Linked DNA regions of Kluyveromyces lactis. The protein of the gene in region 1 purifies or fractionates together with the protein of each later gene. This does not show direct contact. Links are inferred from orthologs where the notes say so. Each region holds a gene or a part of one and is shown on either strand. Other genes may lie near its edges.

Region 1 (16,017 bases):
CAAGTCGGTTTGATCCATGACCACGGTTTGTTACCCAATGGTTTCGCTAGTGATCTTTTATTCTGTTCTGTATTCCCACTTGCAACTGTGTCATTTTTTTTATTTGGATACAAACTTGTGTTTGGCTGGTATATGTGAGTTAACCTATTTCGCAATATGCTGAAGAGTATGACTTGGATTATGCAAAAAACAAGAGACACTAAAACACCTGAAATGAATGAAGAAAAGGTTATCCCAAATTGCCGTTGTGCACTACCAGAGCGCGTATTGGATAATAAAGTTTTGAGTAACCCCGATGTATAATTTCTGTATCGGGATTGCAAAGGAGACGTTTCTTCTTTGTAATTAAGAACCAATATTGCCGTGTTGTCATCAACTTCAACATATTTATAGATTATTTTCCTTAAATAATCCAGAGCAGTAACATCGTTATCATGATTCATCTCAAAGCCTAGTTGGTCCCTGGCCAATGTGTCGGAGACGAACCCAACCAAGCGCGGTTAATATTGATGAATAGTAGAAGTCTTTCATGAGCTTTGTGAAATGATAGCTTTTCACCCCACTATGTTACATGTCACAAAAAAATGACAGCAAGCTAAATTGTTTGACAATCACCAAACAAGACTTTTATACTAAGAAAGTAATTACCTCCAACTTTGCTATCCAGTGCGAGTGAATTGTTATCACTTTTTGATTTTGGGGTCATCAGAATGACGACAGCATTAATTTTTGTGATCATGATCTAATTTAATAAACTATTTTATTTTATAAAATATATAACTTTACGTGGATAGTGAAAGTGCTTGAAATAAAAGCTTTTCCTATATTAACCATAATTTAATGATTTTCTGGATGTTTCGTTATGAAGATGTGATCAATCTGAGATAGTCCAGGTTGATAACCAGTTTAGGTATTCGTAATCGGTGCTTGGACCGGACATACCGAAAGAAATTGGGGCAAAGTAGTAGAAGCCATAAATTACGATAGCCATGTATGAGCCATAAATGGTGTATCTCATTACCTTTCCGCACTTAGATTTGTTCCATTTCTTCATCGAGATTTCGAACAAGTATGCCAACACTAATAAAGCGAAGTATAATGCTGGCAAGTAATGGTGGACGTAAGTAACTCTACTCATGATAATAAATGGAACAAAGTGCAAGCCCCAAGCCAACAATGGATAGATACCACCCATCAAGAATAAATTAATATCTTCTGGATTTGTTAGGTCAGAGTATTGACGTTGCCATCTAATCAAGTACACGGCAACCAAAACCATAAATGCTAGAACGGCGATAGTAGATGGCCAGGTAGAAGCTGGTGAACCAATTAAGAAATATTTGATGTTCTGTTCACCCCATCCACAAAGTCTGATACCGACATTTAGAGTTGGCCATTGCCAAGCGGAAGATGCTAATTTGTCCAACTTTTCAGCATTTGGAACCAATGCGTTGTTGGTAGCCATCATAGCCAAGTTCAGATGAATAAAATCTTTGATGAAACTAGTCTTTGGGTATTTGAAGTTTTCAGGTCTTGGAGGTAATTTTTCGTTGACGTTCGTTTCAATATTCCACCAAGTTCTCTTGTCTCTCTTGAAAGGATTCTTAACACAAGCGACTTCATTTTGTCTAAAACCCCATTGTGGCAAAGTGTTTCCTGTTTGAGATAGGTAGCAACCCATTTCCGCATTTTTCAATCTGAAAGAAGAAGTCAATGGATGTAATTTTGTTTCGTCTTCAGGACCCTTTTGGTCAACGATTTCGATGATCCAGTCATCCTTTGGATCACCAACCTTAGCATCACCGTAACCGGAAACTTCCCAAGCATTGGCTTGAACAGGGGCTCTATGAGGATGGGTGTGTAAATTTCTTCCTGTGTTGAGATGAACTAAACGGTATCTAGCACCATCGGTGACAAACTCAGTTTCTGTTTCGTTTTTGTCATATGGTGCGCTGAATCTTTGTCTGTCAAACGTCCAGACGTTATTACTATCTTTGTGGCCATATGTGGTAACTTGTTGTTGCTGAGAACCTTCTGGATAGGTCTGGATATGAGAGTGCAATAGACCACCTCCTAGGGCCTGGTTCTTGATAGTAATTTCAGATGAACCTAAAGCGACGTCACGTGGCCCTTCACCAACATCGGAACCAATCAAGTTTGCTTGGAACAAGGATGGCATATTAGCATCACCAGTACCAGAATGGGACAAAAGATCGAAATGGATCTTGAAACATGCTAAAAATACGGCAAATGGAACCAAGATTAAAAACACAAATCTGGAAGCCCAGTGAGCAGCGTATACCTTTTTTGACATCTTAGTATCTGCCAACATGTTCCATAGATCAACCACTGTGTAGATACCCACCATAGTAATGATCAACAGACCGACCATCTTAACAGAGATGGTACAACCAAGAGAGAACCCAGTGTAGAATAACCATTTCCACCACTTTTTAGTGAACGGTTTAGATCTAACGTTGTGGAACTTCACGAAACAAAACATGGACAATACAGTGAAGAACAAAAGCATCGAATCTAATAGAATAAATCTGCCTAGCGTGGTGTAAGAGTTTTCAAATAAAACTAAGGTAGTAAACAACCAAACGGTTGGTAACGAGAAGCCAATTGACTTAGCAGTGAAATAAGCAACTGGAACACATAATGCAGAAAACAGAGCATTGAATAATCTCATCTTGACAAAATCAATGTACTCTGGGTATTGCTCACCAGACGGGAAATCCCATGAACCGTTGTAACCGGCCAAGTAACCGGAAAAACCGACCAACATCTTACCCAGTGGTGGATGCACATCATGATAGAATTCGTGTCTTAAATAGTAAGATCCAAACTTACCGAAATGTGCCTCATCCCAAACAACATGGTCATTAGCGCCGATCTTGTACATTCTGATGAAAAAGGCAAGACCTGTAAAGATAATTGGCATCAAAATTGACTCCAGTTTCAACAATGGACTTTCGTTGACATGCTTCTGCTTTGAAAGATCTTCAGCTTCAGGCAAAACTTCAACTTCCTCAACAACATCTTTGCCTCTGTGTCTCAAGCTGCTCTGCAACTCGTCTCCAGATAATGATGCTGACATTTCCTGTAGGTCAATTCGTCTTATCGGGCCTTTCAAACTAAACAAGATCAAAATAATGAACGAATTTTTGCAACATTCACGAACTGATATTTACTTCAGTTCATGTTAATCAAAAAAAACACTTCGTTAACTTTATATAATATCGACGTGTTCAGTTTTTCGGTTTTTTTCAAGAAAAAAAAGGTGAAAAACATCATATACAAGGCAAGGAGCTAGTCATGTGACCTGCATGGCAACAGGGTCTTGCAATGTGACACGAAGTAGTTAGAACTAAGGATAATAGGAGTGCCGATAGTTCTAATATATAGTAGATAGACTTTCACTAAATTTCTCTCTTTAACAGTGAATATTATAGTATATTACATCTGTGAAATGATATATGCAAATAAGTAACTGATAACACTGCCAGACGCTAGACCGATTGACAAAAACACATTGGTAATGCCTCCTGCGGCTTTTCTTTCGTCTTCTGTATCTAATGATCTGCCGACGTTCATGAAACTACAGCTCGCCAAGAGTCCGTTGGTCAATCCAAACATGAATTGCCAGAAACTGTAGGATAGATCGAGAAACACACCAAGATGTGAATTCTTTCTAATGTTTCTTACGTTGAATAGGAAAAACACCGCAACCATTAGGATACGTAGCTGAGAGTAGATGAATATCTTACGTGGAGTTAGCATTTTGGAATTGAAAGTATGTTCTGCGATGATTCTTCCAACTAAATCGCCAATGTTCCAAAGCATGAATATGAATGGAATGAATTCAGAATTCCTTAACGGGAATCTTACCACGTACGTGTTTGATGCAAATACTGGGAAAATTAACGTAACGCAGAAGATGGTAAATATAGAGAGCACAAGGTACCTTAATTTCAGGAAAAGCACTTTGAATGGGACGTAAACCTTAGGCTCATCAGCTGTCCGCTGAGCCATATCTCCTCCAATGATAGGTATATCACTTTTTTTATATGCCACGATGGATGCAAACGACATGACACTAGTGGATAAGAAATATAGATTGATACCTGTCGCTGTTTGTTCCTGTTTTTGATTGAAGATCGAGACCATGAAGAGCACTAGCGACGGTAGTACCCCTGCGACGGCTTGTCCCACCATCACTGCATGATTGTATTCTGGTCCGAAAACGTTAGCCATAGCCATGACACCGGTTTGAGAGAGTGCAGTTGCAACGGAACTGACAAGCACTAGAAACATAATCATGATGAATGACAGTAAGTGGGATAACCAACGATGGAATAGTACCACACCACATAATGAAGTAAATACAATAATTTCGAAGAACAATCCACTAACAATTCTTTCAGTGTAATGATGTTGAATTTTGGATAAAATTATGTTAGACAGTACCGATGATATCGTACTAACTGTCATCATGGTACTGATGTAAATCCTTGCATACACCGACGTGTCTTGAAATACATCATGCTGGAAATATAATGACGCACTTAAGAATGAGTTCCACGGCCAAAGTAATGCAATACCGATAAGGAAAAATGCAAGATAATTAGTATCAGTAAGCTTGATGTATGTAGATTCTTTGGAAAGGTCCTTGGTTTGTATTTGGGAAATAGGATCATTTAATGCAGTTCCCGTTATTGGAGTTTCGTCATTTTCTTCTAGTTCCATAATTCGATGAAATATTTGGTGTATTAATTTTCCCCTTGAGTCTATTTATTCAAAATACAGACCAGCCAATGTATATATTGACCAAGTACTAATTAAAATCCCTTCATCAGTAATTTTGTAGCTTGCATCATTATGTTTTCCCATAAAACAACAATTTTCTGAAGGAATTCCTGTTTAGTTTCCAAAAATATGATAAGGAATTTACAAAAAAATCACTTAATCCGTCCAGAGACAGGAAAAGAAAAAGTGAGAAAGCCTGTCAGTTATACTTGGAATAGACTTTAAAACATTAATATACAGAAGAAAATAAAGACTAACGTTATAAATGATGAAGTATTAGTTGAAATGATGGGATAAACCGGTTTTAACATCCTAAAAAAAAAAGGCACTTCTTAGAATATCATTTCTTTGGTGGATTTTACCGGCACATATGGTTTTGTTGTATCAATTGAGAAAGGACACAAGATGTCTGATGTATCTTCTATTGATAACGTTAAATGAAATTTACAATTACAAGAGCAGGATGAAAGTGAATGTGGCAATAACTGGTATAGATATCTTGATAAAGCCAGCAATAAAGGGAACAAAAAGAAGTGAAACATGATTGTAAATAAAATTAGTACAATTACACTTTCCTGCTGGATGTTTGGGTGGCGTTACCCCTTGAAATTTCAAATCTTGTGACAAGAGGGATGTGGTCACTTGGGAACTTATCGTTAGGGAACCCAATAAACTTGGATGCATACTCCTCGTCGATCTTCCCTAGTAATCCGCGAACACGTAGTGATTGAGAGGAATACCAGATATAATCGATGACGTCGGTGAAGGAGGGTGTCATATTTGTGAATGGTAGTTCACCAATGGCGCCGTAACTTGATCTGAGCGACAAATTATGCGAGAAATTCTTCTGTGACATATAACCGAAATCTCTTTGATCAATATCTTTATGGTTTGCCGTGACGTGACCACTGTTGAATAATTCTACAACAGCAGAGTCTAATTGGGAGTTAAAATCACCACAGATGACCATAGGAATCTTCTTTATGTCATTGTTATTGTTTACATGGTGGTGCTGTTTGATTAAAGTCTCTAAATAGTCCAGCATCACGCCAACTTGGAAAGTTTTAACATCATTAAATTGTGGATCCCAATGTAAATGAGTAGTGACCACCCACACATTTTCGTTTGTATTCAAATGCTTTAGTTCTGCGATTAGCGCAACATTGTCCTTATTCATAGCACGATTCAAATAATCTTCTGTACGATGGAATTTTTTATGGCTTCTCCAAGCAGAACTAAAATCAATTGAATCTTGGAAGACCAATTGGAATTGATCCTTCTTGTAGAAAATAGCACAACCATCGACCTTTTTGGAATCCTTGGCGTGCATTGTCTTGGCTCTGGTCTTAGCGTGGAACAAGCAACTATAGTTATATTTTTCCATAAGAGGAACCCAATATTCCTCATATGTTAAAGTTTCAACTTCTTGCAAACATATAACATCTGTGTCAAAATCTAGTAACTGTTCTTTCAACTTTTCTCTTCTGTAATCCCAGCTTAACGCCCAAGATGGAGTGAAACGGTACATCTTTGGAGTAGCATAATGATGACACAACGTATTGTAAGATAACAATGTGAAGCTATTCTTCAATAAAGTATTGTTCATGTGATTTGTATTCTCTTGTAATGACTCGTATTCGTTAGTTGGCTCGCCATCAGCTGATATTTCAATAAATTTTCTATCCTTGGCATATGGGATTTCAGGCGCATTATCTCTGAGGTAAAAGATTAATCCAGTGACAGACTTTTCAGCTATAATTTTCACGAGTTGTTTATCAAGAGGATTGCCCTCCAAACCCAAAAACTGCAAGTTAAACAAATTACCAAATTCCCAGGGGATTGTTGTGATCATATTGTCAAAGAAATATAAATATTTCAACTGATAGCACATACCTAACTCTTTTGGTAGTTCTGTCAACCTATTATGAGACAAGTCTAACACTCTTAGATTTCTGAGTTTTTTGATGGAAGAGGGTAATGAAGTAAGGCTATTACCATTTAAATATAAACGTGTCAAAAATTCGTAATGGAACAGTTTTTCGTTAAGATTGAAAAGGGCCAAGTTGGAAAGGTCTAACGCGTGCCATAATTGATCATCATGTTTAGAGTTCGTTGGAGCTACCATGCGATGTTCAATTTCATCGTCTTCGTCGATATTATATTGAGACAGCTTCTTGTGTTGCAGAAGTAGAGAAGGTGTATTTGGATGAAGCTCTGCTTTTGGAGTATTCGGAGTTGAGAACCCTGTAGAGTTTAGATCAGAATTGACATTAACAGCAGATGCAGTAGCTTCATTACCGGATGAGGCCATCTCCATAAGATGTTGTTTAGTGTGCTCGACTAAAGACATGGATGCGTCATTACCTAAAGGTTGCTGACCTTGTTGCTGACCAGATTGACTTGGTTGTTGTTGCTGGCCCTGCTGCTGTTGTGACTGAACGCCATCTTGGCCATTAGTAGACAGTCCCAACTGATTTTGATTATTTAAGAACTTCTTCATGGCGTTTTGTCTAGCATACACATTCGATTGACCCAAAGACTGTCTGGAAACTGCAGCCAATTGAAGCTGTAACTTCCAAATTGGTGAATTCAACAACGAGGGGTCCGCTAAATGTGGATGGCATAACGGATTATTAGCATTGGACAATTGCTGAGCCACTAACGCAGCCTGGGCTGCATTAGGTGTTCCAACATTAGGAGGACCCACAGCTTGCTGTGGTCCCCCTGCACCGCCAGTTATCACATTCTGAACCTGGTTCATCATCATAGGAAGGACATTGTTTAGTTGGGCCGGCTGATGTTGGTTTCCTTGATTTCCCATCAAACCTGGCGGATGCTGGTGAAGCTGCTGAGTAACAGCTTGCGGCGTACCCACCATCTGAGGCACCGCTTGCCCAGCAGGTTTCTGGAATCCTGACAAGGGAGGCGGATAATTCATTTGCACCAATTCAATTATAATGTGTTGATAATAGTTTCAATTTTTTTCACTGCTGTTATTCGTTGATTCCTGTTTAAACTTCTATTCGTTGTTATTTCCAGCTTTTCTAAATATCAATATCAGTTTAGAATCTTACAACTCTCAAAATATGCCCAATGACCAGTTCTTATTTCTTAATATGTTTTCGGTTTAGTATCTCGATTATATTAAATTCTCCTCTTATATCAAATAAAAAAAGCACAGTCAGTACAGTAATAACTAGTCGTCTGATGAGGCTGTAAAGCTTCCTTAGTTGCCGAAGTCTATGTCTTTTAATGTTTAATGTTTTAATTTCAATATAAGATTTATTTAGTTCTTTCAAAGAAAAAACAAAGTCTTAAAAACCGTTTGATAAAAGGAAAACAAGAAAAAACACTCAGTAGAACCTGTGCAGAAGTGGAAACAAAGAGAGGTAACAATATTAGTGAGTGGTAAATAAAGAACCGGGGCACAGGTAGATGCACAATTGGTGTAGCTCTGATCTTTAAATGCCAATGTTCTTTTCTATGTTGTTGAGAATATTCCAGTTTCTGTAACTATCGGGGGTTAGAGCTTGCTTGTTACTGAAGAAGTGACAGCTGTTGCCACTCTGGTCTCGATACGCTCTACTCTGAGCTTTCGTCATTTTGATCGTTTTATTATATTACCCGGACCACATATCTGATTATGGCGAGGATTATCAACAGTTGTACTATTACCCGGACTTAATTTATTCGTGTAACGATACGCGGGTTACTATTGTTCACGGATATAGCAAGATAGCATAACAATAAAACAGTACAAGAGATTCCTGATTTGCGATAGTTATAATAGGTGCTCTAATATTACGAGCAATACCCAGTTAATTGCAGTAAATAAACCATTTACAGTTACTAAGGCCCTATTTCTTGTGAAGGACTTATGTATAAAAAGAAAAATTGAACGTTTTAAAATAAAAAAAACGAAAAGTATCTGAAAGTTCATCGCACACAACATACTTACAATATGATAACTCGTTATTAACAGTTGTATCGTTTATTATTTTTCTTCTAAAAAGATCAGTAAGAACTTGGATAAGTGATTATCTGGGTTCTTGCAAGGGACTTTTAAAGAAACTGGGCTACTAATCATCGTATTGATTTATCTTTCTCTGTTGTTTTCGAATAGGAAAGTGTGATTTTTACTTTGATTTCTAGTTGTTTGGGTGATACGAGTCTCTAGACATCAATAATCAAGAAGTCTATACATATTTTCCATGTGAGCCGCCTGGTATTTTCATTAATTGCCATGGTTGTATATTTTATATTTTCAACATGAATATGGGAAAGGTACTTCTTAACATTTTGTTACATAGATGCATATATACATTAGAGAGCGTTCTTCTCTTTGCTAAGAGAAAATAATCGGTGCTCACGTAACCAACACTAACCATGTGGTCGCACATCCTCCGAAGATGCTAACAACTTTTTCGTATTTTCCTATCATATTAAGGGGGCTGATAACGTTACTCTTGTCATTGATCGGATTTGTCTCTGTCTTGAATAAAGACCCACAATTACCGTGCTCTCCCCAGCCCCAACAATATACTTTCATGTCAGCAGTAGTTACTACCCCATGCTCACTACCAGTAACAAAATCCAGAGTTTCTGAAGGCAGAGGTTCTTCCAAAAACTGGCCATGAGAACCTCGTCCAATGGATATAAGCTTTCGTTCACCAGTAAGAATGTGTAACGAGGACCACATAGAGTCAATCTTGGCAATTGATCCGAAATCATGCGACAACTGTGATATCAATTCGGGAAGTTCTTTTGCTAATGACCCTTTTATAATTAATTTATTTTCAGTTCTGGAAAGTACACAGGTAAAGTCCTTTCCTAAAGCCATCTCGATATCAGACGTATCCCCCTCATAAATCACCTTTGGTTCCTCAATGATTTTCAAGGCTGAGTCGTCACACACTTGTAGCTTCCTATTATTGCCCCATCCGTATATCTTCTCCGGAACAACCACTACGCAATGCTGGAAAGTTGCATAACATCGGGAGCCTTTTGGATCTTCACATCGGAACAGATCAATCCATTCTGTACTGTGTTTCAACCTAGGTACCCCTAATTCGCCTTTATCACCCCTTCCACGGGTTTTAACCCAGCCATCCTCATCAATAACTATAGTAACTTCCCAACCACATGCAATATCGAGAAATTTCCCTGGAATAGGGATCCATTCGAGACTTATTTTAATGTCACTGGAAGCGCATTGACCAGAAGAGTTATCGCCACACCAATACAACGACCCATCTTCTAATAATAGTAGCGAATGGTTGCCCCCACATGACACTTTTTTAATACCAACACCATCACTTTGAAAGCTCAATTGAGGCAGCATCAAGTCCTCATCGTGTCCTACACCCAATTGGCCATTCCCATTGGAACCAAAACATAGTAATTCGTAACTTGCCATATGTCAAGAGAAACACAATATTACGAATGAGCACGCCGATTTGAGTCGGTATGGCTGTGTCAGGTAGTTGCAAGTGTCATGACATACCAAAACACCACATTCGTTTACAGCTGATGCACATTTGATATGCAACGAGTAGTAGAAAAGGCTAAATGCAGTTGGCTGACAGATTTCCGGTTTCTATCTGGTAAATAATTCCTGTCAGTCATGTGACAAAAAACATAAGCAGCCCGGAGCACATCACACCTGATCACGCCCGGGGCTCTCTGTTTTCTCCAAAAAACTGTTAACACGTTCGGAAAAATGTCGTCCGGATAAACCCTTCATAATTTTTGGGAATCTTTACCTTGAATATAGACCCACTTCCCCTACCATCATATCTTATTCTCGACCTTCGCATCTATGGGGCCGACCGAAGCAACTTTTTTCGTAGTAAAGTGGGAGACATGCGGAAAAATTTGTAACGTGGCTCCTTGTAATGCCCAAGATTCAAGGAATCGTTGGGCACAACGGGCCCGGAACAATGTTCTGGCCAAAACTCATTGCGGTGTACAGATGCTTAAATTATTGCATATGCGGTCCACAAAGGATATCAACCCTATTCTTACGTAGACGAATTCGTTGAACAACACAACCAAAAAGAAAATACAATAAAAAAAAATCTGGGCCACCGGAGCTTTTCACGTAGTCTTCCGGAAAAATATCTCAGTTTCCTACACCCTTTCAGTGCAAAAGGATGTCTCCCCACATCTGAAAAAGTTCATTTGGAATAATATTTTCTCCCTAAGGAATGTCTCCAAAAAAAAAAAAAAAAAAGGAAGCAAGGTATTTACCGACCAGTGCGAATTGACCAATAGTTTTACCGAAGCTGGAAAAATGTTGCGTACAGAAAAGGCAGAACATGGCATAATCCGCAGTTGGATGATGAGCTGAGGGTATCACTCAAAAGCTATAGTCAGAGCTCGGAAGAATATCCAGCAGGTTGTTTCCAGAGCAATCCCTGGCTTCAATTCATGTAGTATCCCCGGTAGAGTGCGTATGCCAAACTCACGTCTCAAGTGTTATGTAAGTAAATTCGTTCGTTAACTATTCATGTTCGGCAACAAACCCAAAGTAAAAATACAACTGGAGATGTCCCCCTAGGCCTATTGCCATACAATTGAAGTTCGTACGCTCTTTGTCCCGACATATCTGCCGTTTTTATTGACCGTATTTCACTGTGTATTGTTTATTCTCCGCCGTTTCCAGCCTCGGGTTTTTTCCCATTCACACTATACAGAGTGGATTTCACTTCTGACATATATATAAGTATGCATAATATTATACTTGGCTCCCTCTTTTAACCAAGCCATACGTATGATTCCCAAAAATTTACTTAAGAATACAACATACCAAATTCCTACCATATATTGTTCTGTATCAAACTGTCATCGTATTACCTGTGTTAGGTATCACTTCAAACAGCAACCTTTTTTCAAATCACCATTTGTGCGTCGGTCTTTCTTCCGATTATCCACGTAGAATACAGACACAAATTTTTTCCGGGCTCAGAATTTTTCAATTTTCTAGATATATCCATTTTTCCTTTAAAAAGAACACTTTCAAAGAGACGGAGATTATCAGACGTTTAAAAAGAGAAAAAGTAAGAACAAGCTCGAAACCGATCTCCTTTATCGTATATTTTTTCTGATAAAAGCACCAAAATCCCATAAAGTGGCTTACCAGGTTGGTCGAAACTCTGGCTGGTTAACAGAGCCACATATTTAACGAAAACAATTTACAAGAGGAACAAAAAAGTGAATCAAAAACCGGCCGTAAAAATTCATTTGCACTAAATCGAAACGGCATCGAGATATACACAAATATTCTCCTACAAAGATGTTTGTCTCACCTCCGCCCACATCGGCCACAAATCTATTACCTGGGGTACTCGCAAAAAGGAAAACCAATGACCTAGCTACGATACCAGAAGGTAAGAGTAGCAGTTCGCATAGTCTACCACAGGATCAACCCATGCTTAGTAACAATGGAAAGAAGGATTTTGTCAATGCCCCTCCAGAGTTTGCCAATAGAGCTCGTGATGAGATTAAGAGACGGCTATTACAGAAACGTTCAGGATCAACTGGTGGCGCCAGGTCATTACATTCATACCGCAGTAATGCATCATCTTCAAGACAAGATTATGGATCGGATGCGGCGTCCATTATTACTGGGCTGACGATGTCATCAGGGACAGGTTCCTCGATTTTCTCGTCACCCTCTTTCAATACAATTTCTACGCAACTTACTGATGCGTCATCTGTGATAGATCAACAGGACTCGAAACCTTTGACACTTACACTAGAGCAAGCTTTACCAACAATATTCTACGACATGTACAGCCCAGATATTTTGATGAATCCTCAAAATTTGATGAGCAACGGAAGGCCGAACTTTACTAAGAGAGAACTTTTAGATTGGGATATTAATGATATAAGGTCGTTACTCATAATAGAGTCCTTGAGGCCCGAATGGAACGGGAAACTTCCTACCATAGCATTCAATCAACTGCAGGGTAACAATGGTACGGAACCATCTATTCCTGAGTTCAGGTTCCAGTTATTACCACTGAATTCCCCAGATGAATTCATCATATCGACGTTGGTAAGTTCTGATCTTTATATCGAAGCTAATCTTGACTACGAGTTTAAGCTAACCAGTGCCAAATATACAGTCAATTCAGCTAGGAAAAGACACGAAGAGCTAATAGGCCATCACGAACCAGTCATGCAACTATCGAAGCCTGAATGGAGAAACATTATAGAGAACTACTTACTTAACATTGTAGTTGAGGCACAATGTAGATTTGATTTCAAGAAGGCTTGTTCTGAGTACAAAAAATGGAAGTTAGATCAACTGAAACAACAAGCTCTCCAACAAAACATGATTCTTCAGCAGCAAAATACTGTAAAGAAACCTAATATGCCACCTCCATCAATAATACCGAAGAAGTCTAAGAATTCGCTGCTCAGAAGGGCACTACTAAGAAACTCTCAAATCAAGATCGAGGAACAATTGGAACTTGAACAGCAACAGGCTTTGCAACAGCAACAACAACAAGCTCCTGTGCCATTAGTCGAAGTACCTACGAAAGTGTCTTTAACAAAAGACGAAAAGTCAATGGTCTGGTCCCATTGCCAACTGCAAGTGTACCAAAGACTAGGTTTAGATTGGACACCTGACAATGTCAGTGCAAACAGAATCCAGTCATGATCAATTGGAAATTACAATTACGGAAAACTTTCTCATTCTAATGAACATATATATATATATATTTTTTTTTTTTTTTTTTTAATGCTATCCCTTCAACTGCGTACCAAGCTAAATTTATGACCATATCTTGCACAGTACTGCCTTAAGTGCAGTTATTACATCACATATTAACAGTATATAAATATTTATTCGTTTAGTTCGATTGTAACTAGTATTATTCACCAGGTAGGGTAACTATATTTCCTCCATCTTTCGTTGGTTTAAAATTTACAAAGCTGCAGAAATTGAAAACTACAGAAGTATTAAAGACATAGAATAGCAGAGGTAAGCTATTGAAGTTGTCTTTGCTAATTTGTGACACTGCATACCCATCGGTGAAACCAAAAAATCACTTCAAGATGGCACAGCTAAGCAAAGAAGCCAGTGATTTGATGGCTCGTTTGAACATCAAAGAACCTGCAAAAAAGGCATCTGAGGACAATGACACAACATCTGAAACTAAGGTTGAGAAGGAAGATGCTAAAGAGACTAAAGCTGAAGAACCAGCAAACAAGGTTATTAACTCTGAATACGAAGTGAAGGTTAATCTTGCCGATTTGCAGGCAGATGCAAACTCACCATTGTATAGTGTAAAGTCTTTTGAAGAGCTTGGTCTATCTGAGGAGCTTTTGAAAGGGTTGTATGCAATGAAGTTCCAAAAGCCATCTAAGATTCAAGAGAAAGCTTTACCATTATTGATTAGAGATCCTCCACATAACATGATTGCACAATCACAATCTGGTACGGGTAAGACGGCAGCATTTTCATTGACAATGTTGACTCGTGTAGATCCAAATGTCAATTCAACACAGGCCATCTGTCTATCACCAGCGAGAGAATTGGCTAGACAAACTTTAGAAGTTATCCAAGAAATGGGTAAATTTACTAAGACTTCTTCACAATTAGTGGTTCCGGATTCATTCGAAAGAAATAAGCCGATAACTGCAAACATAGTTGTCGGTACACCTGGTACAGTTCTCGATTTGATTCGTAGAAAAATGTTAAACTTGGGATCAATCAAAGTCTTCGTGTTGGATGAAGCAGATAATATGTTAGACAAACAAGGTCTAGGTGATCAATGTATCCGTGTGAAGAAATTTTTACCCAAGACATGTCAATTAGTGTTGTTCTCTGCCACTTTTGATGACGGGGTACGTCAATATGCCAAGAAGATCATCCCAACTGCAGTTTCTTTAGAATTACAAAAGAATGAGGTCAACGTTAGTGCCATCAAACAATTGTTCATGGACTGTGACAACGAAGAACACAAATACACAATATTATCTGAACTTTATGGTCTATTAACCATTGGTTCTTCCATTATTTTCGTGAAAACAAAGCAAACTGCCAACTTGCTATATGCAAAACTTAAAAAGGAGGGCCACCAGGTATCAATCTTGCATGGTGACTTACAAAGTCAAGATAGAGATAGATTGATCGATGACTTCAGAGAGGGTAGATCCAAGGTCTTGATCACAACAAACGTTTTAGCTCGTGGTATCGACATACCATCCGTTTCCATGGTCGTCAATTACGATCTCCCTACACTACCTAATGGACAAGCAGACCCTTCAACCTATGTTCATAGAATCGGTCGTACCGGTAGATTTGGCCGTACCGGTGTGGCTATTTCATTCATTCACGACAAGAAATCGTTCGAAGTACTATCGGCTATACAAAAGTACTTTGGTGATATCGAAATTACTAAAGTCCCAACCGATGATCTGGATGAAATGGAAACCATCGTTAAAAAAGCTTTAAAGGCCTAGAGAAAAGTACTGTATCTACTTTTATATACATTTTCCCTATTGATACCTTTTACAGTCATAATAATAGTAATCGATTAGTTGAAATAAAAATCAACTTGACCAAAACATGGAACGGTTTCGACGTGAAGTTACAGATACACATATTTACCACTATCATTCTTTAGTGATTACTGGCACTATTGGATGAGGGTCTTCAGCATTGGCATATCTCAAGACCCTATTGCAAAACAGCGGAAATTCTGAAAGGGAAAAATGAAAAATAAAAAAACAAACTATAAAAATAATGAAATGGCAAAGAGTTTAACCATCTAATAAACCTTGCCCGTATAAACAAAACGGGGCCACCAGCACCAAACAACAACTTCAAGATGGATTCTGCTAAGATTATCAACATTATTATCGGTATGTCAGAATGATGTGAATAGAATTTCTTTTCATACTTCCTGGAATTGAGTGCGCAATTGCATAGCTTCGTGTTTTAGGTACATATCTGTGATTGCTTACTTAGTCATTTTATTCTTTCCGAAACCATGTTTTTACTAACAAACGCAACAACTATTTTGATAAATGAATGGCGGTGCCATCTTTAGCCTGCAAGGTTCGAGTTGGTACACATTACATCCGATCAAAATGTTTTATGAACAGCACTATTTTTACCACCAGTCGCCGTCTTTATGGCCCGTGGTTGGGGTTCCGAATGTATCCTTGATATCATTTTGACCATTCTTTTCT
Region 2 (18,101 bases), on another chromosome or scaffold:
TTTAGAATTCGGTGACTCGGCACTACCAATTTCCTCCCGACCTCTCTTCGATGAAGTACTGGCAAAATCCTTGGGGTCATTAATTAAATCATCGTAACAAATAGCACAGGTTTTTTCGTCCAGCGTATCAACTTTCTGTACTTCAAGTTTCTCAAATGCTTCTCTCGTAAGTCCACTGTGTCTTCTTTGATCCCTGGTTAGTGTCTGGAAAATATATTCGCTGGCTAACGCTATCACTTCGTTTAGCCTCCCCGAAGAAGTATCACTCGGGACATCTGCAAATCTCAAAATCATAGGAGTGAATGCTGTGTTAGCAGCATCGTTGCCAGCTTGCTCATCATTCCCTGATAAACTGGCATAATTTATGGCTATTGTAAAATGGCTTCTGGATGGGCCGCTTGCACCGTTCTCACTTGATTCGCTACCCCCACGGTCAGGAGCACTATCACGGCTTTGATCATGGTTATCAGACATAACAACTGCCGTGTCGTTTGACCCTTTGAGCCCCACTGACAAATCAATTTTATTTCTCAGTCCAAAAAGGTTATCACTAATTCGAAGTGCTACACATTTTTATCATTTTTTTAAATACTCAGAAATCAACTGAAGTTCCATATTGGAAAAATGCCGGAAATCTCTCTGATTGTGGTTGGGAACACCAGACGTTGAGAACGTCTTTTCATGTGACACACCTATTCCCAGCAAAGGAAAGAATATAAGAGGAGTACTTGGGTATTAGTAATGGTTCGCTGTAGACTGTAGAAAATATATATATTAACACTCAACTTACATACTCACGGGGTTACAGCAATGTAAATTTTATGTGCTTATAGTGGTACAGAAAAACCTATAATTCTTAAAAGAGATACATAGAACTGTAAATATTGGCTGGACAAGGGGCTGATTGAGTTTAATTAAGATAGTGTCCGTCTCTTGGTTGGGATTTTTGTTCACTCAAACAAATTATCGGAATCAATTGATCAATATAAAATGCTCGACCTGTCGAAATAGTTCGAGGGTAAGTTGAACAATATTCTTGATAGAGAGTATGCTTATGTGAGAAATTGAATTAACTAGGGTGTTAAAAGAAATTCTGATTATAGGCTTTCTGTTCCTATGCAAGTGGAACGGAGATCGAGCAACGCATCAATTTTTGGGCAGTGAAAGGGTTTCTATTGGCAATAGAATCTTTGATCTGACAAAGAACCGAAAATGTGCTAAATTAAGACAATGAAATAGACGAAGAGAGTAAGACCAAATGTGAGATGATGTGAAACGAAGTTCCTCTGATAGAAGTCTGCATCGTGTGTGTTTGTGTGTATTTTTCTTTTTTTTTCTTTTGCTTTTATTAAGTAACAGTCTTCCTCAGCTCAGAACAAGGATGGGATGGAAACTGCACTTAGAAGTAGACAAATTAGCGCAGCCAAGTGTGGTACTGGCAAGCTGGAGGCAGCGCCTTCTTTTTTTGAAGAGGAACCGGTTGAGGTTGAACCCGAATTACCGGAGGTTGAACTGCCGGAGCCTGAAGATCCTGTACCAGTCGAAACAGTACCATTAGCATTGTTGGTAACTGTGAAGATATTACCTCCAGTAGATAAACTTGCGGCAGTAGACCAAGTGCTGGAGTAACCTGGAGCTGCAACAGCACTTGGCACTGAATCCCTGATGACCTCGATTTTTTCGTCGCCGCTAGTGTAAGAAGCTTGTGCTAGCGAGATTTCGAGCTCTTCCAAATCGTAAACAACGTAAGCACTGGTTAGGAAGGCATCACCTAAAGTAATTTCGTTATCAGATTGAGGGAGTATTCCCAAGACACATTGGGAAGAACTGCTCGTTGTAACAATGTAATCACTTAAGGGGGATATGATATGGAAGCCACCAAAGTCGAAGACAAGATCATAATCACTGCCAGAATCACAATCCACAAAATAGTATCCTGAACTGGAAGAGTACGTAGCACTAACAGAACTTGCAATGGCAGCAGCTAAACTACTTGGGAAGTAACAGAATGTGGCACCAGTGTCTAGCAATGCAGGGTACTTAGTCTGTGTCACAGTCTCGTTACCATAACTGCTCGTCACACCGATACCTTGTAGAGTGATCGATAATCTAATCTGTTCAGTGTAGCCTATGCTTCTGAGAGCGTTGACCATTGGAACGGTGTACAACGTACCTGTATATTTGCTGTGATCGACGGCACCGAATAAGATAGAACCAGAATCCGCATCTAAGTCATTCAAGAAAACAGAATATGCATTCTTTTCGATGACGCCGTTTCTTTGCAACACGATAGGGAAGTTATCGTATTGATAGCGGTTGTAGGTGCTTAACTGACCGGAATAAGTGGATTCAGAACCTGTCAATCCAATACCTAAGACACCGAATTGGGAATCTGTGTAGTTCGAGACAGCAAAGCTGAGCCCCGTGACGTTGACATCGTCCAAGTGAATTTCATCTACACCCCAATCACCATCAGCAAAGGTACCATCCGCGTAAGAGATATAGAATCTAGTGTCATTTGATTGCCAAGAAGACGACTTTGACGTGTCGAAAGTACCAAACTCAGAACAATCCAAAGTGGCCAGGCTTGATGGGACAGATCTTATAGAAGTAGCAGCCACTGTACCCGATGTGAGTGCAGTAGGAACTGTTTGCGTACCAGCACTACCAGTGGCACTAGCGATACCAGTGTAAGTGTAATCGGTGGCTACATCAGTACCGAAAACACTCAGTAAAGACGACAACAGGGCAGTATAATCCTGTCTTTTTTTCTTCGAAGAAGACCTAGAAGCGGAGCAGAACGGATTGCCCGATCCAGGCACCCACAAATCAGAAGAACCAGTATCGATTAAAACACCAACCTTTTGTGCAGGAGTACCAATCTCTAAATCAACAGAGTAAAACGTGTTCTGGTTATCGATTTCAACGTCGACGTAACCATCTGCACGCTTCTTCAAATGGCCAACGCGTCTCTTCGATAATGACGCCTCAGACGCGTCATTCCCTCTCAACTTGTCAAAAGACATGAAGACATGCTTCTTATTCGCCTCACCGACCTGGGAAACGTCACGTTTCGTAATATACCCAGCAGAACCAAGGGACGCCAACAGCGCCCCCAAACAAACATCACTTAACTTCATTGCTGGTGTTTGCTATATATGCGCCTTGGATAATAAAAGGGGGAATTAGTAACCAGTACCAAGAAATGAACTTTAATTATTAAAGAAAAAAAGACGTCAGCCAAAGTATAACGTCTTCTGTAAAATGAAAAGACCCTTTATATATATACGCTAAGACAATAGCCGCTGTTTTCTTTCCAATTCAATGAGTCAGTTACCTCAAACTTTTAGGAGAGAAGGTACGTGATGTGAAATGCAAGATGGGTAGAAACATTTTCCAGTGTACGTTTAATCGTGGGAAAAAAACCTTTATAATAAGGCAAGTTTCATAGAACTTCCTTTTTTTTTTTTTTTTTTTTCAACGTTTCAAAGTTCCCACATCGCCAACTTTCGACACGGGAAACAAGCACAAGCCTTCATAGAGCGGGGCATTTCGTCAACGATTAAATATAGAAATGAAACGAGGCAAGAAAAAAAAAGAACTGAGGACACACCGTGAATGCAGATGGGAGCGTAACGGGCCAAGCCCCATCGATGACGAGTATGTTTTTTACTCTGTAGAATGTAGAGCAATGTGTAGTTGTGTAGTTGTGTTGGCTACGTTCTCCTCAGGGTCTGTCCTGTGAAGTATATCTGGGTAACTAGGTTACGGACGTGGTTTATTTTGAGTTGTCATTTGAAGCGTTTTGGCAATTTGGTGACCACTAAGTTATCTGGCTCTCCAGTAATACCCGTAATACGCAGTAACTGGGTGAAGAAATTTTGACAACTTTGTTGCCTGAGCACTCCATCGCCGAAAGGGTGATTTGCTGCAATTTTTTTCCTATATCTTATTGAAGAACTGAAAATTATTCAATTTGGTTCAATTCTGTGACGTGATTGATTGATTGACGGTCTTTGCACGCACGCAAGCACGCATGCATGCAAACACACACACACATGGGAAATTAAAGATCGAAGATGAGTAGGATTGTTAAGGAGTATATGGGGTTGCAGAAACGGTTGCAGACCCCTGAATTCTCATGGATCAGTTTTCTTGCACCGGTAGATGATGATGACTTATCCGAATGGGTATGTCGATTCCAAGGCCCGTCAGAATCGCCGTTTGAAGGGTTTGAGTTGGGTTTGAACATTACCATAGATCTGGAAAAGTATCCGATCAGTGGCGGTCCTCGGGTTCTGTTTGAGCCACGTACCGTGGCTCACCCTAACGTGAAGTGGGACACGGGCGAGATTTGCCTAGATCTTTTGAAAGATGCATGGACCCCGATATATACCTTGCTAGATGTTGTTGGAGCTATAAGAGATTTGTTGGCAGACCCTGGTTTGGACTCGCCACTAGATCTAGACATTGCCCAGATATACGATGCTGACTATGAAGCCTACGTGCAGATTGTTAGGTATAGACTTGAGGAGGCGCGGTTGGCACGCGTTTGAGTACGACTTTTACGTAGAAATACACAGCAACATGGCTGGATTTTTCATTTTTCCTTGCAGTGAAATTGAATAGGAATGATTGAAAAAGGATTAAATGATGGAAATGATGCAACTTATATTCCTTTGTACATGTTTTATACACAAATGTATGTTACTTTGACTTAGTACTTTCTTTTTGCCTAGCTTCCCTATTGTTCGCGGGGTGGAGACACTTGATTATCGAAAGAGAAATGGCTAGAAAGATTACATGGAAAGACGTTGGGGTTAAGGACGGGTTCCCATTAATTTCACCTGGGTTCGCTACAGAATCGGGGAATCAGTTACTATTCAGTAGTGGTTGTGTTGGTACAGATCCTGTTACCAATGAACTACCTGAGGATTTGGAACAACAGGCTAGAAATTCCATGATCAATTTGAAGAAAGTGCTTGAAGTATCTGGATCTTCTGTTGATTCGGTCTTGAAAATCTTGCTGTTCGTTTCCGATGGTAGTTACGCTGGTATCGTTAACAAAGTTTTCAAAGAATTCTTCCCTAATCAACCTGCTAGATCGTGCATTGTCGTTGCATTCCCCAACAATAAATTGAAAGTCGAATTAGAATGTATCGCTGAGATTCCATCCAAGAAAAGATGGTTCAAGTTGTGAAGGCGGGGTTTAGATTTTCCGGGCTTTGCGTTCCAAAAACTGTGGTGGAAAAGCCTATTATATATATGCCTCTATAGCATGTTAATTATACTATATGTTAACGAATATATGTTTAAAGAACAGACTTTGCTGGGAAATTTACGAATGTTCTTAATCCAATCTATGCCATAATAACTGAAAAGCAAATTCAATTACCATGGCACAGGGTGAAAGTACAAGGTGAACGGCGTGTAGTGTCCGAATCAAGTAAGATGTCGAATAAGGTTGCTGCGATGTGAAGAGCATTGAATTGTAATAATTAGGAAGAAAAAAATAGAAGGGCACCGGATGAGACTTGAGCCTGCAGCTTGTTTATGTGTATATTTGTGGTATCCGATTGATAAGAATTAATGAGTTTTCCAAAGTTAAGACCAGCTTTCCTCTAAAACGGTGAATTGAATGATAGGTTTAATGTATGCAGCGATGGGGTAGGATCAGTCCATTCCCAAAATAAAGTGCATTATTTCAGCTTCCACTGCTGTAGATACTCTTGAACCACTTCTTCGTATTGATCTACCGACTTCTCGTCGGAAAGTTCATCTGTCTGTTTTGGTGGGAACTTCAAGGTCATCTTCTTATCCTGTGGTTGATCCAACTGATAAGGTTTCAAACTTGCAGATACTTTATTAGGTACATCGTTCCATTCAGGGTAGAACTCCATCCCCATTGCACTACTGGACCAAAGAGCGCTTTGTAACAACTTGTTTGGTATCCGTGGATTATAACGCCACGTCCCGTTCACGCCCCCAGATAAGATCCCTCCGGTCCCGTTGGGACCGGCCATGAATGGATGTTCTGGTTCGGATGCGAAAGCTGCCTTAGACTTTAGTTTACCTCCCCCATTCTTCTCCCTTTCCACTTCTAGTTCCTTCACTTTCGCTTGGAATAGCGGGTTATCCCTCAGCGGAGACACAATAGGCCTGTATCCGCTGAACAAAATGTCAGCCGTGAGTTCTTGTGGCGCAAGAAACCTTGTCGTTGGCACGCGAGGAAGCTGTCTATACATTTGTGTGGCTTTGGACTTTGGAAATGGCATTTTCCTATGGTTGTATTATACTTTTTCGATGCTTTGATGCTTTCAACTAGATAGTAAAACCTGTTTAGATTCTTATTTGTCCGACAGTACGTTATCAGACCTTGCTTTTAAATAGTCTGACAAGAAAACACGATATTTCCGATAAACGATTTAATCCCCTGTTTCCTCTGAAAATATTAATCCACCGAGCTTTAGGAAAATCACGTAATTTCACATACTTAAATACTTAAAGCAACTAAGTAATCAATTTCGAGACGATAATCCAAGCGTTAAACCCTTGAACTATATATACTCATTTTATATATGTCAGATCAAAGGATGATGAAACCGCATATGTCATACGTTGCTCACCGAGTCAATCCGACTCGTTTTCACACTATGTCACTATGTGTCTAAATAAGACTTCACACACCCCTGGTTTTTCTTGTGTAAGACTCAAACATTCTGGGGGAAATAGCGGGCAAACCTTCGGGTACCACGCGTGTTTCTAGCTCAGTTTATGGGTGAGAATTGAGATTAGCCAAATTCTGAAAAACTAAGTAAAGAAATGCAAAAACCGGCTAACGGTATATGCAGTGTTAGCTGGTGCTCTCGGCGATATCGGATCAAGGATTGGTATCTCGGGGCGGGTGTGTGGGTGTATTACAAATGTTTAAAGGAATGTGATATTCACGTGAATATCACGTTACTGAACTTTTTTGGAGGAACCCATCTTTTTTTTTTTTTTGAAAAACACATTTACAGATATCAAATGTTATAATACTATTATAGTTTATGTTCTAACATGAGATGAGGTGGGATGAGAGATCGAATGAAATGAAGCTGGGTGTACTTTTAGAGGATTGAGCTGGACTTAACTGAGTCAGTGAAGAGGAACGAACGGAAGAGCTGCTACTGCTTACCCTGGTATCGGTCGTTTGTTTTGTTTTAAGACTCACTCTTCTGGACTATAGAGAAAACCCTTTTCTCTAGCGCCGTGTAATTTGCATACGCATTCCAATTTACCATGCTACAGGAAAAGAGTTCTGTTCAGCGATTATTTTTGGCCGATTCGGATGTTGATGAGAGCGTACTGTTAGAAAAACTCGTCATTGCTCTTTTTACCACGGTTCCTGGACAAGCGGTTGTCACACAATTGATTAATGATGCCAAACGAACAAATGACGTTGATGGGGTTGAGTGTCTGATACGAATGAACGATCCCTACTGGGTGGCACTTTTCGGTACTTGGGCAACTGATAAGCATATTTTGTCATTATTTCTAGGGTGGGTTTTAAGGAATGAAACGGATCATATCGATTTAGAGAGGTATTCAGATCAGTCGTTTAAAATGGCTATGAGATTTCTTCTCACGAATCAGGACCCCAAATTCACTGCACCACTATGGGATACATCCAACATTTTACTAGATTATTTGCATAATGCTAAGCCTTTGATAGAAAGTGTTCTTAAGAAACTTGACGGCTCGCAGTTTTTGCAATGTCTAATGAAATACAACCGATTGTATGAATTTAATGGTTCTTACCAATGGTTTACCCCTCCGCAGTCCACATCACATGCAGAATCTCCAACTACAATTTTAGAACGTAATTCTACTTTTTTATCTACTCTAGGGAATTTTGGTAATGATATGGTTCGTGCTCTCTCTCAGTTGAAAACTGGCGATATACGGCTGAATTCACTAGAATCATACGGAAAGAATTCTGGGCATAATAATCCACCGTTGTCAAAACAAGATGATCACAATCCGTTAAACTTGAATGGCAAATCTGATCGATTTAATTTGTTTTTTAAGCTTGGGTTACACAAAGAGCCTCATCCACTCCTTGCAGAGCAATTTAACTCACTTTGCTTATTTGCGGATCCCATGACTCAACCTCCTCCAAACGATTCTCATATAATTTCATTGGATTTATTGCATGACCTGTATCTAGGTTCTTTGACTGCTTATATTGTTAAACTGATACCCAATTACCAGAAAGTCTGGAAAATTCATTTGAGCGCAAATTTGGAAACTATTACATTGGCTATTTTGCAGATGTTGCAGATTTGGGATTATAGATCTCTAGACAATTTGAAAGATATCCAAGCAAGAAGCCCTGATGCATACCCTAAATACATGACATCGTGGATCCCATACGATCTTTCTCCGCCCGAAATGGAAATTCTTTATATGATTGCAGGATTATCTTTCTATTCGATGCACAAGATGCACTCTGATAAGCCGCCGAGGTTGAACCCATTCTTACCTATGATGCTTCGAGCATGGAGAGGTTTAAGTTCAGCATTAGTGTTAGGTTTGCAAATAGATAGGTTTGAGGAAATGCAGATGCTATATGGTACTCCAGTAATTGTTAGTGCAGTCATTCGTGGAGCTTCTGCGTTGCGCTCAATTATCGCAACGATTCTCAACGGTCATGTGGATGAGAAGTTGCACGATTTTAAACATCAACCTTTTGGTGGGTTCATGTCTCCTCATGGAAGGAAATTATGCAACGGGGCTCTTTACACATATGAAATGTATTATTTCGCAGCACTCCTACCATCAGGTATGGATTATGACGAAATTGTTGAATTATTGACTGATATACAAAAAGGAGATAGAATTGATGAAGATGTCAGATATATGTTTGATTATGAGTACTTTGATTACAATGATGCAGATACAAGTAAGCTAACAGATGGTAAGCTTATGTTTACATCTACTAAAAATGAACTCGAACAGAAAAATAGATTCAGAATGCTTAGGGGACTCTACAAGCGCTGCCTTTGCAAGTTTAGTGATGAAGACGACAATGATGACGATGATGACGATGACGATGATGATGACTATAATGGTGAAAAAAGCGTTGTTGGATTGGATGAGAATGGGCAGATCAATGAAGCTGAAACCCCTCAAACGTTTAGCGAAAGTAGCAATGCTGTTGCTTTCACATCTTTAATGACGCACAGAGACTCTCAAAATGATTTCGTTTCTCATCTTACAACAGGTTATGATAAAAACGGTGATGATTGGAGGGATATACCTCGTGGATTAAATCTATATTATATGGATGATTACCAATTTTTGTCTAAGTTGGACAAAGTTTCTCTCTTTGAGTTGTTGAGACGATTACCAGATAGAAACGTAACGTTTTCTCAAGCCTGTACGGTATTGAGAAGTATTGCAACATGTGTGAAGCTAGAACAAGAACAAATTCTACTGAAATTAATTACGGCCACTTCTGCAGAGGTAGATTTGAAAGTGCTTCCTTTTTCTACTGATGAAGTTATTACGGCAATTTTTAATGATGATGGAGGAATTATAAAGCCTTTTCCATTTTCAGGCTGCAATGATAGCTTAGGGTGGAAAATCTTCGATGAGTTGATGATGAGCCATGGGCACAGAAGGCTCTTAATCTATCACTTGACACATAGGTCGTACACTTTCTCGTCCATCCATTACGTGTATGAGTTGTTATTCGGTCTAAGAGGCAATCCTGCCAGGAGTTATGATTTAGAATCGACTAAGAACAAACAATTGGGGATTCTTAGCTGGACACCCACTGGAGAATTCGAAAGGGTTGCTGCAATTGAATTCTCTAGACAAGGAGTTATTGAACTTTCTGCAATTGAGAAAAAAATGTTGCTACAAGAATTTTTCGTGGGTGTGTCTTCAGGACTGCTAGGTGAGTATAATGATGCGGGTTTTGAAGCTTTTTCAATTAAAAATCCTTCAAAAGTGTATGTAGATGATTATGGTGAGGAGTTCTTCTCTGCAACATCGCGTAAGGCTGAGATGTCTGGGAAAGTAAAGATGGTGTGTTTCATTTTAGAAGAAGTATTAAACGATAAGGAATTCGAGTTTGTTCCACATGAAGATTACGTTTACGAATTAAAAAGGTTTTTGATGCAATGGTCGACGTTTTCTGCTGAAGCATGTTCCATGTATGCTCTTTTGAAATCGAAGGCTTTAGGGAAAGTTCTTGATCTAGGGACCGAGGGGTTAGATGATCGGCCAAATACTGACCCTGATGATCAGCTTTTGCCAGTAGATTTTGATAAATTAAAACTAAGTGACATAGATGACAGATGGGATACGGAGACTGATACAAGCATTGAGAATGGTGATAAGACGTCCATTATGTCTGAAAGGTTCTCCAGAATGCTACCAGTTCAATCTCTTGATGGACAGCCTGTTGACAAAGTTTTCCGTCACCTTCTTCAGAAATATCCTTTGACTGAAGGAACTCCTATTCACGGAAGGATAACTTTGGAGTACCACGATCATATTCTGCCACTGGACATCAGAACGCATCAATCATTGCATAGAGAATTTTTGGCGGTCTTTGATATTGATTACTTAGACATATTAGAAGCTCGGCAGCAAGAAGCAGAGGAAGAGTGTGATGAAATGTCTATTTAGAATACTGATCTCGTAGTATTTCTTTCAGAGCGGCTAGTTTGTCTTTGATACCCAGAATATAGTACATAATTTCATTTTGCATGTAGGAATTTTGAAGATTATCAAGAATAAGTAGCGCGTTCTCCAATTGAAGTAGTTGAGTTTCTAACTTAAAAGAGTCCGACGGTGTCTCTTCTAGCATCAACTGCGATAACTTTTCCGATATCGGAGGAAACCGAAGTTTATTTTTCATCATCTTTTTGAATAATTCAGTGCGCTGTAGGTTATCCATTCTTTTGTAATAGGCGATTACCTTGGAAGCAAACTGTTCTTGTTCTTTCTTGGTAAGAGTTTTATTGATTTCCAGTTCTTTGAAAAGAGATTTATTTTCTTTCTTGATATTAGAGAATAGGGTTTCAGGAGTGATATTCGCTTTTGAAATAATGTGTGCCAAGTAGTGATACTTTGTTGGTTCTAGAGTAACGTCTGAATCTTCTTCATCTGAGTTTTCAGCTGAATCTTGTGCATTATTTTCATTATCATTATTTGAATTATTGAGCTGTTGAGAGCACCACGTTTGAAATAGTTCATCCCGTTTGTCATTAGAAGTAATCAAATAATAGCGTGGATCATGCATTATCCGCTTTGCTTGGATCGACCAAGTTGAGTAAGGATCTAGTTGAATTTCATTAAGTAATTGAATGAACTTAGATTCTATTTCCGTGTTATTCAACGACGGTAGCGTATCCTCTTCTTTAACATCTATAGAAGATGGATCATTCTTTTCTTCTACCTCTGATTCTTCACCAGAATCATCTGATGAGGAAGAGTAACCAGAAACTAAAATATTACTCGATTCGGATTTATCTTCCGTGTCCACGTTAGAATTTGTTACTTGTGGTCTCTCCTCAGTGATATCGTTTTGTTCTTTGTCGTTACTGTCGAGTTTTGCTTGTAAAACATCTCTGATCTCTCCATAAACGTCACGGTCATTTCGAAGATTGAACCCTCGTGCTACACCTATAAGCAATGCAAGAAGAGATGTATCAACTTTATCCAACAAAGCTTTACTCTCATCATCCGCCAGTTTGAATTGGGACACATTAGATTCATCGTTGTGAAAGAATTTGGAACCATCTTTACAAATCACTAGGTTCCAGTAGTTTCGTAGAGGTAAACAGAACACTGGCACTCTCAATTCCTTCATACCAGCTTGCTGGCTTCCGAACTCTTTTGGTTTTTCCTTTGTGGATACCTTGGACCTCGTATTGAAGTAGTAGAAATTCCCCGAAGGATCTTTAAATCGCTTCCATTCGCTCATACTTGATTCAGATAGGAACAATGGGCTCTCCGCCAATTTAGTTAAAACTTTAAAACTTTACTTTCACAGACAGGTGCAGCAATGCAAATAACATCTCTGAGACAGGTCTTCCACCTCGTACACTGGGTTGTTCTCACTAAGAAAATCCATTGAAGAGCCGTTAAACAAAGGTTCGTTCTTTTATTTTTTTTTTAATGTCGACCTTTAAAATGAAATAAAATACAATCAAAGTTAGAAGAAATCCAGTGGCAAACCTTTGAAACTAGAGATTGAACAGCAATTGGATTCAACCAGATAGTTAAACTTGTAGCTAAAGTTCATCGAAAGTAGCAGCAAGAGCATTTCTGTGAGCGTACAGGTAATTGGTCTGTGAGAATATAAAGAACAACTAAGAAGTCAGAACAGATGGGGTCCAGAAGATACGATTCGAGAACAACCATTTTCTCGCCAGAGGGAAGATTATACCAGGTTGAATACGCTTTAGAATCCATTTCACATGCTGGTACTGCGATTGGTATCATGACTGAACAAGGTATTGTATTAGCAGCTGAAAGAAAAGTGACATCGAAACTATTAGAACAAGATACTTCAAGTGAGAAATTGTACAAGTTGAACGATAATATTACGGTTGCAGTAGCTGGGTTAACTGCAGATGCTGAGATTCTAATAAATACAGCCAGAGTACAGGCTCAGAGCTATTTGAAGACGTATAATGAGGAAATACCTGTTGAAATGTTAGTAAGAAGGTTATCCGATTTGAAGCAAGGGTATACTCAGCATGGTGGTTTGAGACCATTTGGTGTTTCGTTCATTTATGCTGGTTATGATGACAGATACGGGTACCAGTTGTATACCTCGAACCCATCTGGTAACTATTCCGGTTGGAAAGCCATCTCTGTTGGTGCCAACACACAAGCTGCTCAAACTTTACTACAAATGGATTATAAAGACGATATCACTCTGGATGGGGCCATCGAACTAGCCCTAAAGACTCTATCTAAGACTACAGATTCAAGTGTGTTGACCCACGAAAGATTAGAATTCGCTACCATCAGCAAGGATGCCGAGGGGAAGATATACCAGAAGATCTATAAACCAACAGAGATCGCTACACTATTGGAAAAAACCGAAATAGTAAAGAAGGATGATGATTAACGATAACGACAAGTCATCCAACACATGTGTTCAACTACTGGACATTAACTGCCTTTATCCTCACTGCCATATATAAGTACGTATGTGTTTTAGAATGTAATCATCATTCAATCAGTCTACTGTCGAAAACGTCTTTACCTTTACAATTAATTAAAGAATTGAAGCTTTTTGTTGTTAAAATACTATTCGCGCATGCAATGTTGAGAAAAAGGATAAAACAAATTAAAGAAAACTCGTAGCTAGTAACTGTTTGGGCTTAATCTCATTACTCATTTAGTATAACCACGGTCTAATAAGCAAATGCTATGAAGTATGTCTGATGGTAGCGTTATATCCGCCGTTTAAACCGCAGAAACTTTAATTTTACTAACACTTATAACATCAAAAGAACATTCTTCATTACAGGAGATGTGCCTGTTGGGTATCAGGTGCCCGATTTCCCATCCTTATATTGGCCCATGAACAATGGTAAGTTCAGCGTCGCATATCTCTACTACCTCCCCGATATATGGAGGTTTACGATCTTCTGGACCATGATTCTATTTGCAATAGTATACGGAACTACAGGTGCAATCGCATGGACTACACACAAGAAAATCTTATTCGGCTTTTGGATGATCCCATTGTATATAATGATAGGCATGGCGCAGGCGTTTGTCTCGGGAACTGTGGTGGGTATATTGATCGCGATCATATATAAGGCAGGGTTATTTGCAATGTCTACATGGATTCCCTTATGCTGTGCTGTGGTCCAAATTTTATTTAACGTGAGCACAAGTTACTCGATGACAAGTCCGATCATATGAGTGATGTATATATATTAGTCGCATTCGGTTATATAGTTAATTTTAACCGTGACCCATTCCCTTCCTGACCTACACAGTTCATCTTAGCTCATCTCGGCCCTTTCTTTGGAATAGGTTTTTCCGTGCGGTCGGTATAAAAATGAACAAGGCTTATAAAAAGAACCAATCCAGAAACATGGAACAGGTAACTTAAGTAAACGAAACCTGTTAATATTGCTCTCGAGAAAACAGAGGATATAAGAGAATTGGAAGAAACCAGTTAGGATATCTTTTACGTCATACTTAGGGGACAAGGTAGATATCATCTAGATCCAGACTATATCCCATATCGTTTAATTTTATCAAATATTAAGGAATTGGAAGTATAAAAGATGCCATCAGTGGAAGAAAGTGTAGCTACAATTAAGTCAGAGTTGAAGTATTTGAAGGAGCAAGGTGCATTAGCAGAGTTAGCATATAAGGATATTGAATCGTTGTTACCAAGAGTAAGACCACAACCACCAGTAGCAGATACGATGGGTCAAAATAACGAGATTGTGGAAGCACTATATGCATTTCAACCACAACAGGATGGTGATTTAGCTTTGAAACCGGGAGATAAGATCGAGATCTTGGAAAAGTTAAGTCCTGAGTGGTACAAGGGCAAATGCAATGGTCAAGTCGGTGTGTTCCCAAGCAATTATGTGAAGTCAGTTGACACGAAAGATGTCGAAAAGAGAAGCTCTTCTGCAACTCCGGTTGCAAATCTGCCTCAATATGCGGCATATACTCCACCTGGACAGCAGATGCAAGTTCAGCCGCCAGTACAACAACAATCACCATTCCCACCACAGTTTACCGGTTATTACCAGCAACCAGTGCAACAACAGCCAATGCAACAATACCCTCAACAGCAGCCTCAAGAACAACCTCAAGAACAAAGCAGTCATCAAGGCTCCGCAGCATTTAAGAAGTTCGGAAGTAAATTGGGAAATGCTGCCATTTTTGGTGCCGGTGCCACCATTGGTTCTGATTTGGTGAACAGCATCTTTTAGAGATAGTTAATGCCATGTTTCTTACTAAGAAATTTTGATAAATTTACCTTACTAAGGCAGAAAATAGAGCTTTTTTAGCTCAGGCTTTCTATTTTGTCTTATTTTGCCAAGAAGCAAACACAAATCATTGTTTTATTCCGCCAATTACACTCGTTTATTCTTCTTCTTCGTTGCAAGCCTTTTTTTATTTCTCATAGATTTACCTGGCGGTTCATTTATGCTCATATGCTCGCATATGTAGAAATTAGCATTTGATGTTTGCAGTACCTACTTTTTCTACATAAATTTGCCATACATATGATGAATTCTGTTAATAACGTTTATCTTAGCTTCATTTGTTGAACCGTAATCGCCGAGGTCGTTACAATCACGGACCCAGATTGGTTTATAATTCTTGGGTAAATATTTGACCATAACCATTTTCAACGTGGCTACCTCCAAGTTGAGTAATGCAAGACTCTTCATCTGTTCATCGTGAGGGATTACTTCTTCCGATAGTGGCACATTCAATAATCTTTCAATTTCATTCAAAGACCTATTGATGGTGAACTTGGTGCCCTCCAAATCCTTAGCCCATTCAACACCTGAGCTTATTGAATGGCTCAAGAAATTCCGTAAAGCCCAAATAATCAAAAGCGCTGGAAGTAAGGACACAATAGAAAAGAGTAATTGTTGAGATTTTAAAAGCTTGTTGATACCATTCATAGCCATCGAACCGTCAACCTTCACCTTTTGCAATTGAATCAACAACGAACGAACCATATTGTCAAAAACAATGCTTTTCACAGGGTTCTCGATCTGATGTTCATAAATCTTCATAAAATCTTGTAAGTCACCGTCCATAATCTGTTTCGTTAAGGAATCAACATCTACATTAGTTCCCGGTGGAGAACGATCTCGGAGAAATTCGACAATCATTCGGATTAATGAGTTCAATTCCGATGTCAAGTTGTCCTTTGTTGTGACATATAATTCTCCTGAATCGAATCTAACGGTGTCCCAGATCTGAGTAATCGGTGTCCAGATCCAATTTTCCCAAAGACCTGACACAAACTCATATGAACCTTGAGACACAGTTGTCCATAGAGATTGTCCGTTTTGAACGAGTTTCTTCAAAAGCATAGGTCCGTAAATGGACAACACAGACAATTGAAACCATTGTCTCTGATACCAAGGGGGGATACGGACGTCTTCTGGTATGGTGAATTGTAGATGGGACACGGCATTCAAACGAGACATGATTTTATCCAAGGACACATCTTTCAAAGTCGATTCTGTGTCAGCTTTTTTACCGCCATCATTCTCATCATATGTCTTGTTTTCAAAACGGGACAATTCTTCACCTGTTGATACCAATAGGGAATCAATTTCCGAGGTTAGCTTTTTCGATACATCATCCAATTGGAAGTTTACGAGCCTTGTTGGTGTTGCTAAGATATCAGCGGCATTCACTAAGTCGTTTACTTTCAAAGTCTTGGCCGTAAACATAGTCCTTAGAGTCGATACTTGGAATCCATGCTTCCAAAATTGGAACGGTATCACAGTGTATTTCCACACTGATCCTCTGAGTTTAGAATAATAGTCCCTTGCCTGTACTAGAGCATGGTAATGATCCATCGATAGTTGCATGTCATAATAGAACTGCAAAATGTCCATATACTGCAAGATTATATCAAATAAATATTTGTCCGCGTTTGTAGCCTGAGACTCGTTTACACCATGTTCGAAACCAATGTCTGTAGAGACATTAGGCACTGTCACAATATCATCGTTAAGAGTCTCATGTCCTGCTACATCAATGTCCTTCATAGCAGTTGCGTCTCGTGTATCTTGTCCGTGAGATATCAATTGCGACCACTTTGTCTGTAATGTATCCCAATGCATGTCATGTCTCACATTCTTTTCGATGGCGGCAATCACTTGATCAGCTTCCTGTTTTAGTTCTATGACAAACTCGTTTAGCGGCAATGATAATGCCGATTGGGAAATTTCTTTGTCCCTACTCCAAAAAGCAAATTGCTCTTCGAGAGAGTTAGTGACTTGTTTTAGCCGCTGAGAAATCAACGAATCATTCAACATATTACTAACCCCGTTCTTATAGAAAAGATGGCCACAATTGAATCAGTAATTGGTCGCTCGCTTGTTGTTTCCAGTTATTTCCCCACCCTTCTCCCTTTTCTTGAGTAAAAGTATAAGAAGATATTCTGAAATTATAATCTATTGAACAACTATTGAATATTTCCTTTTCACTAATCCATTGTTCCTACGCGCGTTTATAAAACGAGACTGGGGCTTCAAAAAAAAAAAAAAAAAAAAAGAAGGATGCTGATGATGACATAAGAGCCGGAATACTTCAAGATAAGGAACAGTGTTAATATGAAATGGAAGGCACAATTTGACTTGCACCTTACTGGGTAATATTTGTCTTTGGCACTTATGTTTGCCGTCTATAAAAAAAATCTCTCTATTATTGAGTTTGAATTTATTCATTGAATTATCGATTTATACCAACTGAATAATCAATATAGTTTATAGTTTTTATTAGTATATTAGTGATTAAGATGATAATAATTATTTATTTATTTATTAACGCCAGTTAGGAAGATTAGATATTTGTGAAGATTCCGGGTTGGCAGAATGGAAGATGGGAGGAATAAAACGTTGTTTGTTAGGTTTCACACTATCTTATCCTGGGAATTAAAATTTCAGCTGTAGAAAAACCAGAACGGAGTTCATCTTTGTATATCCACGCATCATAACTACCGTTGTGTCTGAAAGGGACCACCATTGGTGATATTATTAGAATGTGAAAGGGAGGTAAAATGTTGTCAAAGGAAAACACGGGATAATCGCACTACTGAAATCATACTAGTAACAACCTGTGTCTTCCGAAAATGACATTAATATATTGAAATAGAATGGGGTCGTGGTCGTCATTTGCTCATGCGTATCGGAATTAAGAGATCTTTATTTTGCACGCTTGATAACCATTCTATGTGTAAAAGTCTTACTTCCTGGTTGAACTTAATCCTTACTCTTTCTTGATTGTTATTCGATTGTTTGAATTTAGTGAGTTGTGTCGAAATTCACATGGCGTCAGCAGAGTAGTCCTTCTTGGATAACTTA

The links.
Region 2: the proteins of CCR4 (region 1) and CAF130 purify together in Saccharomyces cerevisiae (affinity purification with mass spectrometry; 6 studies listed by BioGRID, with this or other methods). This does not show direct contact. The link is inferred for Kluyveromyces lactis from reciprocal best matches to the Saccharomyces cerevisiae genes CCR4 and CAF130.

Annotation. Positions count from the first base shown.
Region 1 is NC_006042.1:1,463,238-1,479,254, forward strand, and holds CCR4 (CCR4-NOT core exoribonuclease subunit CCR4), read right to left. Parts: upstream 7,748-16,017; coding exon 5,375-7,747; downstream 1-5,374. Other genes in the region: SPO75 (Spo75p), read right to left, coding at 1-443; dolichyl-phosphate-mannose-protein mannosyltransferase PMT2, read right to left, coding at 875-3,100; nucleoside transmembrane transporter FUN26, read right to left, coding at 3,460-4,749; ATS1 (Ats1p), read right to left, coding at 9,176-10,225; STD1 (Std1p), read left to right, coding at 12,104-13,477; ATP-dependent RNA helicase DBP5, read left to right, coding at 13,876-15,285. UniProt on the Saccharomyces cerevisiae protein: Acts as a catalytic component of the CCR4-NOT core complex, which in the nucleus seems to be a general transcription factor, and in the cytoplasm the major mRNA deadenylase involved in mRNA turnover.
Region 2 is NC_006041.1:351,574-369,674, reverse strand, and holds CAF130 (CCR4-NOT core subunit CAF130), read left to right. Parts: upstream 1-7,281; coding exon 7,282-10,680; downstream 10,681-18,101. Other genes in the region: ubiquitin-protein ligase SAN1, read right to left, coding at 1-474; KLLA0_E04049g (pepsin-like aspartic protease), read right to left, coding at 1,371-3,140; PEX4 (E2 ubiquitin-protein ligase peroxin 4), read left to right, coding at 4,080-4,556; KLLA0_E04005g (RidA family protein), read left to right, coding at 4,787-5,200; SUE1 (Sue1p), read right to left, coding at 5,700-6,275; URN1 (Urn1p), read right to left, coding at 10,673-11,980; PRE9 (proteasome core particle subunit alpha 3), read left to right, coding at 12,386-13,135; MAY24 (May24p), read left to right, coding at 13,441-13,445, 13,524-13,941; KLLA0_E03873g (SH3 domain-containing protein), read left to right, coding at 14,313-14,975; NCA2 (Nca2p), read right to left, coding at 15,252-17,054; and 1 more. UniProt on the Saccharomyces cerevisiae protein: Acts as a component of the CCR4-NOT core complex, which in the nucleus seems to be a general transcription factor, and in the cytoplasm the major mRNA deadenylase involved in mRNA turnover.